2 linked regions of the Arabidopsis thaliana genome follow. The protein of the gene in region 2 interacts with the protein of the main gene of each other region in a pairwise test. Each region holds a gene or a part of one and is shown on either strand. Other genes may lie near its edges.

Region 1 (6,090 bases), about 17 Mb from region 2:
GATCATGGAGATTCGCTTCTAAGAAACTGGAATCTATCATTGGTTAAGAGACCGAGCAGACCCGAGCCATTGAGGTTAGCGTATTTCACATCTTGAAGCGGAAGTTGACTTGACAATGCGAACCGTTGTGAGACAGCAAAAGACCAAGGATCTTGCAAGATGAGTTCACGGGTGGACTCATCATACGATGCAAAAAGTTGTGTCATTTCCTCGCCAAAGTCTAATCGCCGTTCTTGGCAAACTGATGGCATCTACTATAGCTTGTGTGGATGACTGTTTCTGAGAATAAGAACCATCACCTCTTCTCTTGAGACAAACATGAAATCCATCTACAATATGAACCGAATTGCTTGTTACGTCAGCCAACGAAACCAAAGGTCCTCTGTTTTGACGCATGTCAAATACTAAAACCATTCCATTCTGTAGTCCAGCATAAACATTGTGATAGTTGTTGAGATCCCAAGAACAAGACAAGGTGCAGCTGGTAGACGAACAACGCCACCGTTGGTCCAAACTTCCATACAGATCGAACATAATGATTCTTTATCCTCCTGCAATCCTGAAGACGATGATGAACAAACACTTTCTGATGACCTTCTTTGATACTCACTCTCGTTCTGTGAAACCCTAGGTGAGTCTACCACATCGATGTATTGGCTAATTTGGCGTTCTTCTTCCTCATCAGGTTCATCGAATACTTCCATTGTTATTCCGACATTACCACAGACGAAACGCCGTAGTCGCTGCATTAAGGCAAAACCCAAAACTTAGCTTCTTACAAAACAGAGCAATCTGTATATAAAGAGCAAAGCAGCTTAAAAAGTAAGCTCGATTAAAAGAAAACTAATACTTGCGTTTCCTTTTTTTCTTCAACATGAAAACCGCAAAAAAGGAAACTCTACATGAAAACCAATTAGTATTATGATTCTTGGTGTGATTTGGTTAATTCACAATCAGAGAAATACGAAGCGGAAGTTGGAAACCTTTGGAAGACAGCAAAAGTGGAAGGAACACAACAAGTTTATTAATTTTAACAAAATAGAGGGGAAATGCAGGCTGTGGGGTTCGAACCCACGCGCACTTATGTGCAGAAGAACTTAAGTCTTCCCCCTTAACCACTCGGGCAAACCTGCTTGTTATTATTTTTCTCTTCCTATTATATTTATATACGCAAACTGGTGTAGTAGCTGCATATTAACCACAAGCCCTAAAAATCCTTAATTTCGGGTCCATTAGATTATGTTACAAAGTGACATGCTAACTAATCTTCAATCAATGTATGTTTTGGACAGAGAATTTCAAATGTAGATTTTCACTAGAAAAGTCTACAAAAAGACTTAATATCCATACCACTAAACACAAACAAAGGTTTAGCACAGTTTCAGCTACCAAAACGATAAAGTTAAACAGGAAGAAATGCCTGAAAAAAAAGACCAACTAAAACTGGCTCACTCGCAAGTTCCAGATTTAAGTACCAAAAGACATCAAAGTTCTAGAGTAGATATTATAGAGAGTAGTCATCATGCTGCTTCTTCTTCTCAAGCAGCTGCACTGTGTTTGGCCTTTGTGTGAGACTGCAATCCCATTTCCGAAGTAAAGGTTCTGGTGCACGACTTGCACCCAAACGCTCCTGCAGACTTCGGTGTCTGCTGCTGCTTCGATGTCTCTCCAGTGCTGCCTCCACCAGAATTCTTACCCGCCTGTTTTGAGGGATGAGGAGTTGCAACATGGACATGCGGTTTCTTCGAATCTGCTTTGTCCGAATGTTTTTTAATTAAACAAATCAATCTTCCTTTCTATCGTTAAAATAAGTATTCAATGGGGAGATTGGTAAAAAGGATTTAATCACCTGTTTTCTGAGGAGTTACAAACTTAGCCTTCTTGTTGGACGCAGGGTTCTTGGAGGAGTTGGGTTCTGCAGACCTCTTCTTGGGTTCTTCAGGCTTTTATAAACCAAGAAAACTTAGAATCAGATTCGAGCTTGACCACAGAAGCAGAGAAATTGCTCCCAAAGGAAGATAAGATAGAACAAATATAGGTTTCCCATCAACAAGCACATAAAAGAGACTGTCATGTTACCTTCTTTGGGGTTTCCTCTTCTGAGGAGTCATCTTCTTCGTCGTCTGATGAGTCATCTTCCTCACTGTCAGATTCAGCAGTAACCTTCTCTTCCTGAAACAAAGCAGCCATGATAAGGATTAAAGAAATGTGAGAATGGGCTAAAACACAATAGGTAATCAAGGGTTCATGTGAAAATGCAAATATAGAAGTTACAAACATACTTAAGATAACTCTAGTACCACTGTCTATAGGTTTAATCAACATGTCACTGAGCCTAAGTAAAATTCTATAACAAATTGAGCTAGTATATATAGATAAAAGTACCTCCTCGTCTCCAGAGTTTTCACTATCATCATCATCTGAAGAATCTTCTTCACTACCGTCAGCGTCATCATCTTGCTTGGCTTTGACATCTTCATTTGGCAACTGAAAGTTCACCTGTTTCGCAGCAGATTTCGGAGCAGCTGGCTCAACCAAGGCCAAATAAATTTATAAGAGATTGATGTTCTTAAATAAACTAAAATAAGACAACTGGAGACAAATCATTGCAGGACTGGATATAAAAGTCCCCATTTACCTTTGAAACCAGCAGCCTCAAGTTGATCATCAATCAAATCCTCAGGCTCGGTGAGATAGAGTCAAGGAAGTCAAAAACAGAGTAAAGCAACAAGTCCCCAAAACATTTTCATCAACAAAGCTTAAAGCGATAACAACAAAAATGTTCAAATAGTAAAGGATATGGATCAGATGCATCAACTTTGTAACCAGAGAAGAAAACGCTCCCATTCTTCCAAGTATGAGACAGCGCAAAGTTCCTTTCCAAGACAATCTCCGTAGACAGCTGAGGAAACTTCTCATGAGATAGCGTTCCAATGAGAAGCTTATCCGATCCAACAGTCACGTAAAGCTGGATTGGTTCGGTTACATTGTTCTTACTCTCTCCCAAAGCAACCTTCAACAAAAATAAACCAAACGTCACTGTAAAATACATTCTTATAAATCAAATTAAGCTTGCAAATTCAAAAGTACCTGAGAGATGTGCACGAGCCTGTCTAGCCCAGGATCTAGGTGAAGTGGTTTGCCATTCTTAACTTCAACACCTGCAAACGCATAGAAAGCATACAAATCAGTAATTCTGCAACAAAATCCCCAAATGAAACCTCTATCGGAGTTAAAACCTAGCGAGAGAGAAAACTTTTCAGTTTTCCCCAATTTTCTACGAAGACGAACAGTCCATACCCTAGATTGTCACATATACTCACTATTCCCGTTTCTCGTTTAGCTAAACAGAAGATTCCATAGAAAAAACAGTAGAAAAACATGGCAAAACGAAAAAAAGCGATGAAACCAGAAGCTAAAAAAAAACTAAATGCAGGAAATGAAGCGCAGAGAACGAAGAAGAAGAAGGAGTAAGATAGGAGATGTTTTTTACCCCAGAACTCCATTGTTGTGCGAGGTAGTGTGATCTTGAAGGCGACGATGCGTCGAAGGAGAAGGAGAAGGTTCTAGAAGAAGCTGAGAGCGATTCGTCTCTCGAGAGCGGTTTTAGGGCGTGTTGATGTGAGAAGGCTAAAATGTCCGCTGGAATTTATTAATCGGAGGAAGGGATTTTAGGGATCCTCTGTTACGCGGTCCACTCGAATATCTCCTTTAGTTGGGCCATGATTTTAAAATTAGCCCAACAAAACTAACGTTTCAAGCCCATACTTTATTTTGACGGCTTTTTTTAACGGTGTCAGGACGGATCGTAACGGACTTTTAACACTTTATTTGACTGACGGAGTTTTCGTCAACATGTGGGGTCTATATATTCATGTCTTCATGACAATATCTATCTCCATTCCTCAAAATAAGTCCCACGGATAAATTGAGCATAATGTATCGCAAAGTTTTAATTTTTTTCTAATCCAAAGAAAAACCAGTTAACAAAATCTGTGAAGAGTTTATATGATAAAACTAAGTACGGTCCCCGACTACGAATAATTAAAATTATTAAATGGATAGTTGCACGAGTGAGAATTAAGGAACACTATTATTATATTAAACACAATTCATTTTAGTTAGATCTATTCGGGGCCTCTCGTGTTTAGATTTAGAAGAGTTCTCGGCATGAATCATGAACATTTTCCAATGCTCTTAAATTTATAGTTTACCAATATTATACTCCGGTTTTACATATCACACATAATTTCGATTTTTTTCAACATATGTGATCATAATCAATTGTTAAGTTTTAATTTATGCGCATAAAAAAATATATGTTTGTATAGTAGTTAAGGAGAATTTTTTTTTGTTATGTTTTAGCACTTTTTGGATTAATACTAGTTTTAAAAGTATGATTTTTTTTTTATTTTTTTTTGTGCACAAATATGATCAAACCCAAAAGTTTCTTTACATAGTAGCAACTTTATATTCTCAGCAGCCATGGCTAAAAAACGTAAGTTAATGACAAAAATGCGTTGAGTGCAATGAACCTGGCAGTATTCGATGAACCTTAGCGGATCAAATGATATAAATATGCAATAGAATTTAAATATTTATTTATTGTCCAAGCTGCGTGGATAGCTTGATAGATAAATTAATGACAGCACATTGACTACCCAAGCTGCGTTGATAAGTACTTGATCAAAATCTTTACATTTTTATGAAGTACTATAATCCAAAGTTAACTTTTAAGCAAAAGATAATTTTTTGTAATGGTTGTGAAAAATTCACTTATAATAACACGAAACATAATGAAGTATTATTAGTTCATTTATATATAATACACAAAAAACATAAAGGCAATAAAAATAACCAAATTAAAAAAAAATGGAGAAGTAGAAAAGAAAACGAAAAAAAAAAAAAAAGAGAGAGATAAGATGCATGCATGGTATAGAAGTCGCAGGCCGAAGACCAGAAATACGAATGTGTTTGAATAGACAAATTAAGGAATATAAAGACAGAAGAGCCCATCCATTTTCGCATACACGAATACATCCCCCTCGACTCCAATTATTTTATTATAGTCCATTCTCTCACTTTCTATTCTAAATATTGTGGACGTTATAAAGGCTTTTTATTTATTTTATGTCGAGTTTTTTAGACTACGTAGAGCCGAATGAAAATTTCATGTTTAGGTATACGAAACTTGGATCCAATGTTACGGATTCAGATTGGTGTAAAAGATCAAATTTGATAGTATTTGGATTTGATAGGCAAGATGGTTTAGTATTTTACACTGTGTATGTTCCTCTTTTAGCTTTGCGTTTTCTACTTTCACTACGATACTACTTTTTATCTTCCAATTTCAGTTGCTTATCACCAAAATATGAAATACCAAATTAATTGTTTAAACAGTTTTATTAGCGATTAAATTAGCACAAAACATATGAATAGATATCATAGTCGAATACAAAAATTAGACAAATAATAATACACTAAAAAACAAACTAAATTGGAGAATTGTTTTGACAAAAAATAAAAAAAATGTCAAAGTTCCATAAAAAGGAGGACAAAAGAGGAATATAACGAAATTATCAACAGAAACGCACCGAGTAAGTTTATTTCCTATGATAACGCAAAAACAAAAAAAAAATCCAATTCCATTAGAGAGAGAGAGAGAGAGAGAGAGAGAGAGAGACTTTTTTAAAAAGTACAAAAAAAAAATGAAAAACTAGAGAGAGAAACAAGTGGCTAGCTAGCTCGCCAAACTTCTTCAACAATGGCGGTTTCCTAGGGTTTGATGTTTATATGATCGGGAAACTCTCTCATCTAGATCGCGATAACTCTCTTTTCCATGGAAATGCCCGGTAGAAGATCTAATTACACTTTGCTTAGTCAATTTTCTGACGATCAGGTGTCAGTTTCCGTCACCGGAGCTCCTCCGCCTCACTATGATTCCTTGTCGAGCGAAAACAGGAGCAACCATAACAGCGGGAACACCGGGAAAGCTAAGGCGGAGAGAGGCGGATTTGATTGGGATCCTAGCGGTGGTGGTGGTGGTGATCATAGGTTGAATAATCAACCGAATCGGGTTGGGAATAATAT
Region 2 (7,406 bases):
TTATACTTTTTTTGTCAAACATTCGATTATATTTTTTATGATTTTATTTTGTTAGTAAAAATATAGAAAATCATAAACCAATAACAGAATAATTTAATTCATTAACAATCAAATATTTTTTTTGTTTTAGTTGAATAACACAAAATTTTCAATGACTTTAAAATATAATTCCAATAAATCCAAATTTATTAAGAGTTTTAAAGATTTTTTAATAAATCAAAAACTAATAACATCAAACTAAAACAGAGAAGCTAACCGTATGTATATAGGGAGGCTAACAGCCTTGCAGACGGGTTAGCGAACTATGCTTTTAATCTATCTTTAGGTATTCATTAGTTTGATTTAGCTCCCTCATTGGTGGAGGAGATTGTAAGGGAGGATGTCCGAGGAACTGCGTTTCCGAGGCTCACCCGCCTACCGTTTTGTAATTTCTTTTCAGTTTCAATAAATTGCGGGAGACGGTTGTTTCCCCTCTACTACTAAAAAAAAAACTTTAACAGAATTTAATAGAATCTTGATTAAATAATAACAGATTTTTCATATCATTTAAAGTAATTAAAACACAGTTTAAATCACACACCACCTAAGACTTTTTTTCCATCTTTTTCATTAATCATATTGGACATTTTGCCTCATTATCCCACATTTAGATATGTATAATAGAGGCTTTGTTCGTTGTGGTTAACTAACCCTATTTCTTATGCTTCTTTAGATACAAAATCAAATTTTCGTACGGACCAACATTATATTGTCCATGAATTAACACTGAATGCAAAAGGACATGTTGGTCTTTTTTTCCCCTCTTTATTTGTTCTTCAAAGATTTGGTTGGATCTAAAATGTCAAATACAATCATGAAAAATCAGGATTTTATCAGAATATTATTTGAATGATACAAAAGAAAAATGTAACTTTGAACAAAAATTATTAATACCATTAATGTAATCGGATTCGGGCATATATAGTCAAAAAGGTTATTCTAAGAATAATTTAGACAAAAAGGTATAAGAGTTAGGCAACACTTTTCGGTTGTATTCATTAGACATCAATACCTTCTTGTATTTTTCAAAATAAAACTAAACAAGTGTCTACTTTACGCGAGTCGGATTAGAATGCATTTAAGAATTTAATTAGTTAGTTCATCTTCAACTAGTGAAGTGTTAAGGTGTTTAAAGATTACAAGATCAATCGTCTTAAATATAGGCCTTGAGGAGAGAATAAACAAAACAAAACAGATTTTGAAGTTTTAAACAAAAGACACTTACTAAAAGAATCCTAAGACCATGCAAATCCTAAAACTGTTTATCTCTTATGTCGCCTGCAAAGAAACAAATATAGTTGTAAGAACAAAGATTTTGACAACGAATCTAAAGGGAAGGCACAATCAAGCGTGCGGGTAAATCTTACCATGCATGCGTTTAATGAAGTAGTCCAAATCTGGAAAGCAAGTAGATCCTTGAACCAGAGGAGAAGGTTGACGATATGTGAAGAAGGAGAAGTGATAGCCATCTGGATGGTTTCTTGGTTTAGCTATATCGATTAATCTCATACAACCATCTCTGTCGAAACAAGTAATCGCATTCTCTCCACCGATTTGAAGTCCCTTATCCCAAGCTGCGTTGATCACCTGCCACAAATAACCAAAACTTTAGGGTTAAGATTACATTTGCTGAGAAGTAAAAAAAGCTATAGTCATCAATAAAAAGTGTCATTACCTGCCAACTTAAACCTTCTGGATCAGCTAATGCTTCTTCATGCGCATTGGGAGACATTTGTGGCCCAGGGCACACAAACTTCACAGTCACGGAATATTTCTTCAGAGTTTCGAAAACAAGAGAGTACCCATCACGGTTTGAAGGGTTGTAGTATCCTGCAGTTAATTCAGCAGCATGACTAGCTGTCTTGTATGACCAGTATATTGCCGGTATCTGCATTGTTGTTTTTGGTGTATGAGTCTCATTGTTATAGGCATCACTGGGTTTGAAGGATAAGTGCCAAAAGGATTATACCTTGACAATAATCTTCGTCTCCTCAAATGCGAGATTTGCAAGAGACAGAACATTCTCAGCATGACCAATTAGCAATTGTGAGTACCAATTTAAGAAGAAGCGGCCATAATAGCTGTCATATTCACCTCTTTCTTGGAAGAACACAGTTTCATGTGGATGAGAACTGTATTGACCAGCATTCTCTGGTCCTTTACCCCAGAAAGTGAATCCTCGTGACTTTGCTTCCTTTTGCAGACTCAATTGCGAATATTTGTCATAACACTGCAATAGGAAAAATAGTAAATTGATATGTTAACTTCACTAGTCATAAGTTAGAACGTAGAAGTAAAGTTCAGCAATCTGAAAAATACCTGAAACTCACCGATACCGGGATAAATCCAACCCATCCTTTCTGGGAAAGATGGGTACTTTAGTTCACCAGAAGCTCCAAGACCAATCTCAACCGCAGTAATTAGTCCTTCCACAAACAAGTCATCAAACTCTGACCGGAAGCTTCTCATAAAATCAAAATAGACCTGGATAATCAAGTGTTGAAAAGGAAGAAATAAGAATCTAGACAGTACAAAAGAGGAGGAAATGAGACATAATATACCAAAATACTGAACAATTTCTGAGCAATGAGTGTTCTTTGAGTACCTCTATACCAGTTCGTCCATGCAATACCCGTTCCTTGTCAATGCTCCAATTCAAACACTCGAAACTTCTTCTTCCTTCACGATCAGTGAAAAAAATGTCTGGATTGTCTTTCCCAATCTTCAACACCCACTGTGGCAACGAAATCATCACATTCCCAGATGCATTCCCTCCATACTCATGAAATGCCATCACCACCTTCAAACAAACCATATACTGATTGCTAAGATATTATGAAAAAGACGGTCCTTTATAGGGAAAGTCACAGTTTGGTCACATAGGATGTATTTAACAAAGCTCTACAAGTAAAAATATTCACACCTGTAGCTTAAGTTTGAAGTCTCTGATAAGGTTAAAGAGCTCCCTATAGCCAGACCATACATATTTCTGAGGGTTCCATCCTTCAACTATTCCCCACCAACAATCTATTACTACTCCATCGACATTTAATGACTTCATGTAACTTAATTCTTGTCTTACACCTTCAGGATCAACCAACTGGCCAAAGTTGTCTATAATGCCAACCTGAAAGACAAGGTACAGAACTTTAGCACAGGAAAACTAAGGATCGCGGCAAAACTGGTAAGAAATATATGTACACTCTTTTTTATTGGGCAACATCCATATATATACACTTAAAACACAAAGTTCTCTCATCAGAAGCTCACTGGAAGCATGGCGTACACAGGGACATAAAAGCTCTCTGTGAAGTCATTACATTGCTCTGCGGAATGAACATCTTGTATAAGCTGAAAGAAAAACAAAGTGGTTAGATGAAACAACGTCCAGCTTAAAGTCAATTCTCCTAATAAGGAAATGAATTTATCATTCACCTGATTGGCTTCCAAGCATCCAACGGAGGTGATAGGACTAACACTAGTATACCTTCCATTCCCGGGATGATCACTCTCGGCAATACCAATAGAATCAAGAGACACAGGAGCAAGTTTCTCATCGTTCCTAAGAACTGAATGCTGCTGAGATTCAATTGCAGCCTTAGCACAGTTCTTCAATGTACTAGAAGAAAGTGGACTCTCAATAGATCTCGTCGGAAACTGTACCTAATCCAATAATATTAAACAATCTATGTTACATTAATAACAGAACAAAGCTTATAACTTTAAGAGCTTCACACATATTTGGGATCAAATTTATCATCTTTCCACTAAACCCTAACTTAAATAGCTTAATATGAAAGTTTGAATTTTGAGAGAGAGAGTTTCGAAGTTTGAACCACATGATTTGGTTGCTGTGATTGCCGATAAGTAGTACCATCGGCTTCAACACTCCAACCAGCTTCACGAGCCAAAGCAGCGATTACGTCATTCATATCAGCACGCGCCGGTAACGGAAAATTACCGTACTGTCTTAATCCGGCGAGCATTCTACTAGTGATTGCTCGTCTATGTCTTTCTCTAAGCTTCGTTCTCTCTTTTTCCTTCTCCCTCTCTCTCTTCCCTTTCCCTCCTCCACCTCCTCCGCCGCCGCTGCTTCCTTCTCCACCGCCGATTCCGGCGATGTTTCCGTTGTTTACATCGTTTTCCGTTGGAGCTATCGACGCTGCTGCTGCTGCAGCGGCGAATCCGCGAGGGCGGCGAGATTGTGGTTGGTTGCGGTTCCGGTTGGGAAATTGATCCGGGTCTGGAATTGGGTCGAGATTCGGATCTTGCGAACCGGTGGTGGTGGTGATGGTGTTGTTGAGAGTATGCATTTTTGTGCGGTGAAGTTGCTCGCTTCTGTGCTGTTCCCACATTTGAGATTTTTTTGTAACTTTATGGATTTACAAATCAACGTCGGTAATTATTATAAATTACGTTAAAAGTCTCTCATTATCAAAATCGTCAATATTAACCCCTCCTTTTTTTTTTTTTTTTTTGGTCAAAAACCTCTCTTTTTTTTTTGTTCAACAATAGCCAATGTGACCAGTTTTGACAAAGTGATACTGAATTACTGATGGGTTTGTTAGGAATGACACGATGGGTTTTACGGTTTTGTTTCCAATCCTTTTTTTCATGGTTTTATTAGTTTAGAAAAGAAAAACTGAATAACATAAATACATAATTTGTCTTTTGATTTGATTTTGGTTTAGTAAATCAAACCAAAATCATGTTAAAATTAGTTTACATATTTTGACTCAGGTTTTTATTTTAGGTAGGTTTTAGTAAAATTAACATTATAATTATAAATAAAATGTTAATGAATTTCCGTTTATTTGATTCGATTTTATCATGTTAAAATTAGTTTTTGTTTGGTCTTTAAATCGACTTTACAGGGCCGGTCCAACAAAAATCTTCTGAAGCTAGAATGCCACTATATCTAAATTGTAAAATACTGAAAACAATCACTTCATAAAAAAAAATGATTTGTATATTTTAGTTTATTGTGATTTACTTTTTTCAACTCATTTTTTTTTTCTATTTTTAATATATCTTTTTTCTTTCTTTCTTTGAAGTTAGTGTAGTTCAATTATATTTTAATTTTTGAGAATATAGATTCGATTTTGGTTCGATTTTGGTTCGATTTTGTATTTCTGCTTCGCAATTTATAAAACCAAAAGGCTTTGTCAACAAAATTTCAGTTTTGAGTATAGTTTGAATATTCTAGTTTGGTTTGGTTACAACTATTTTTCATCTAAGTGATCACTGTTCAATGACCATTTCAAAGCTTTTTTCTCAATTATAGTCCTCAATGAAGTCCAATTATGATTGCAAAAAAGATTAAAAAATCGAACGAAAACAAAAGAATGTTATAATAGTTTGAAAAAGAAAAGAAAGAAAAATAAAGAAATGGTGAGTTTGGTTTTTTGTTCCCTCTCGTTCGAACATCAAGACACACTCTTCCCGTAAAAGTCTCTCTCTCTATCGCAGATAGGTGCTTTGTCTCCTTCTTCGATTACTCCGATCACCTAAAAATCTTTCCTTTTCTTCAAAGCATTTCTCTTTGATTCAAAGACAACACACATAGCTTAGTTCCTACATTAATTTCTCGCAATAAAAAAAGTTCAGATTTCGAGGTATTCTTGCAATCTCGATCGAGTTTCAGATCTGGGGATTCAATAATTAGGGCTTTTGATTCTGCATTGTCAATGACGAATTCGGGTTTCAATGTAAAGATCTGAGGAAAAAGTTTCGATCTTTAGATTTTGACTTGGAGGTTTCTTCGATTGGTGGATTTGAAGAAGATGGGGAAAAGACTTGTGGGTCTTGTGTCAATGATGTAATTTTAGCAGAAAGTTGTTTGCTTTTGAGAAGAAGATGGGATCTGGCCGGAGCAAATCATGTCTAGGCTCGTCGGCGATGGCGAGAGAAGCTTCTGACGTGGCTCAACCTCCTCCGTCGTCTTCTAGTGGTGGTGGAAGGAGAAGAAGATCAAAGAGTCTTTTTTGTGGTCTTCACTCTTCTTGTCTTGCTTCATCTTCTACTTCTCATTACAGTGATGATGATAATGATGAACAGGTCTGGTTTTGATATTTAATTTATTTTGGTCAAATCTGAAATTAGGTCAAGTTCATGAGTTTTGATTTCTTCAGGTGTGTAATGGATGGATGAGGAAGAGTCATGGAAGTGTTACACGGCGTAGAATGGAATCGAGAAGAGATGCATCAGATTGCTATGATAAAGAATTGAAAGATGATAAGAAATCTGAAAACGAAAGACATTGTGATGAGCTTGAGCTTGATGATGAGTGTGGTGTTGAAGAAGAAGAAGAGGAAGCTAGTGTAAGCAATGTACAGATGAGAAATGTTAGCGGTTCGATTCAAGAATCTTCTACTCCAGGTCGAGTTTTTTCGCATTTCAAATTCATTCCTGGTAACATAAGCTCTAGACTTAGCAGAGCTTCAAGTTCAAGATCCTTCAACACGACTTATCCAGTCTCTTCTTCTCATAGAGAAGATGGTGTTACTTCACCTTCAGAATCTGCTATTAGGCTCAATGATAGAGTTGAGTCTCCGAGAATTCCTGTGATTGACAATGTAGTTAGAGATATTGATGCCATGAGATTTGGGGAAGATGGTAGCTTACGTTCTCCGAGAGTAGTTAATGGTATGGATAGTACTTATGCTGGACTTCTTGATAGAAGACATGTTGTACGAGAACCTTCTATTGAGCGCAATGTTAGATTTAGTAGAACTCTGAGTGTTGGAAGACTCCGTGATAGAGTTCTTCGCCGATCTTCACTCTCTGATTTCGCATTCCGTCCCTCGCCACATCAGGGAGAAGAAGATACTGATCTCTTCTCTGCTGAAACCGCAGCAGCAGAGGATGCTCCTGTGACTTCAACGTCTATACTAAATCGTTCCGCTTCTAGCATTCGAAGGACCTTATTCGGCATTCAGGATCATGAGACACCAGCTGCTCTTGTGAGAGAAGGGAGGTATCAAGGTTTATTAGAACACAGATCAGATTTCCTTGAAAGAAGGAGGAGAATAAGATCTCAGGTTTGAAACTCATTGATTCTCTCTTCCTTGATGTGTCTGATCAACTCAAGATCTAACTAACTGATATAACTAATTCCACAGGTTCGCGCTCTTCAAAGATTAGGAAGCCGGTTTGAGAATGTCGCAGTCCATCATGATAGATCTTGTGTCTTATCAGGTCAAGATCAAGCAGGTCGCTGCACATGCCGTGCAGTTACTAACCGTGGTTCGACAACAGCAACAACCGATGAAACAAATGCAAGAGCTAGCATCTCAAGGATAGTATTGCTAGCTGAAGCTCTCTTCGAGGTAAATACATGTTTTCGGTCTCCCTACTAACAGCTTTTT

Evidence for each region. Proteins that work in one complex are often made in the same cells at the same time.
Region 1: the proteins of BMY2 (region 2) and HD2C interact in a two-hybrid assay, tested with the Arabidopsis thaliana proteins (one large-scale study listed by BioGRID).

What each region holds. Positions count from the first base shown.
Region 1 is NC_003076.8:979,410-985,499, reverse strand, and holds HD2C (histone deacetylase 2C), read right to left. Parts: upstream 3,642-6,090; 5' UTR 3,507-3,641; coding exon 3,494-3,506; intron 3,162-3,493; coding exon 3,091-3,161; intron 3,014-3,090; coding exon 2,802-3,013; intron 2,689-2,801; coding exon 2,639-2,688; intron 2,526-2,638; coding exon 2,386-2,525; intron 2,173-2,385; coding exon 2,080-2,172; intron 1,944-2,079; coding exon 1,850-1,943; intron 1,751-1,849; coding exon 1,539-1,750; 3' UTR 1,211-1,538; downstream 1-1,210. Other genes in the region: AT5G03750 (E3 ubiquitin-protein ligase), read right to left, coding at 3-176, 256-481, 595-704; CTR1 (Protein kinase superfamily protein), read left to right, coding at 5,840-6,090. UniProt on the Arabidopsis thaliana protein: Probably mediates the deacetylation of lysine residues on the N-terminal part of the core histones (H2A, H2B, H3 and H4).
Region 2 is NC_003076.8:18,350,582-18,357,987, reverse strand, and holds BMY2 (beta-amylase 2), read right to left. Parts: upstream 4,464-7,406; 5' UTR 4,395-4,463; coding exon 3,876-4,394; intron 3,703-3,875; coding exon 3,475-3,702; intron 3,391-3,474; coding exon 3,310-3,390; intron 3,167-3,309; coding exon 2,963-3,166; intron 2,840-2,962; coding exon 2,645-2,839; intron 2,524-2,644; coding exon 2,359-2,523; intron 2,270-2,358; coding exon 2,009-2,269; intron 1,928-2,008; coding exon 1,715-1,927; intron 1,627-1,714; coding exon 1,407-1,626; intron 1,318-1,406; coding exon 1,292-1,317; 3' UTR 1,100-1,291; downstream 1-1,099. Other genes in the region: AT5G45290 (RING/U-box superfamily protein), read left to right, coding at 5,896-6,096, 6,171-7,079, 7,161-7,367.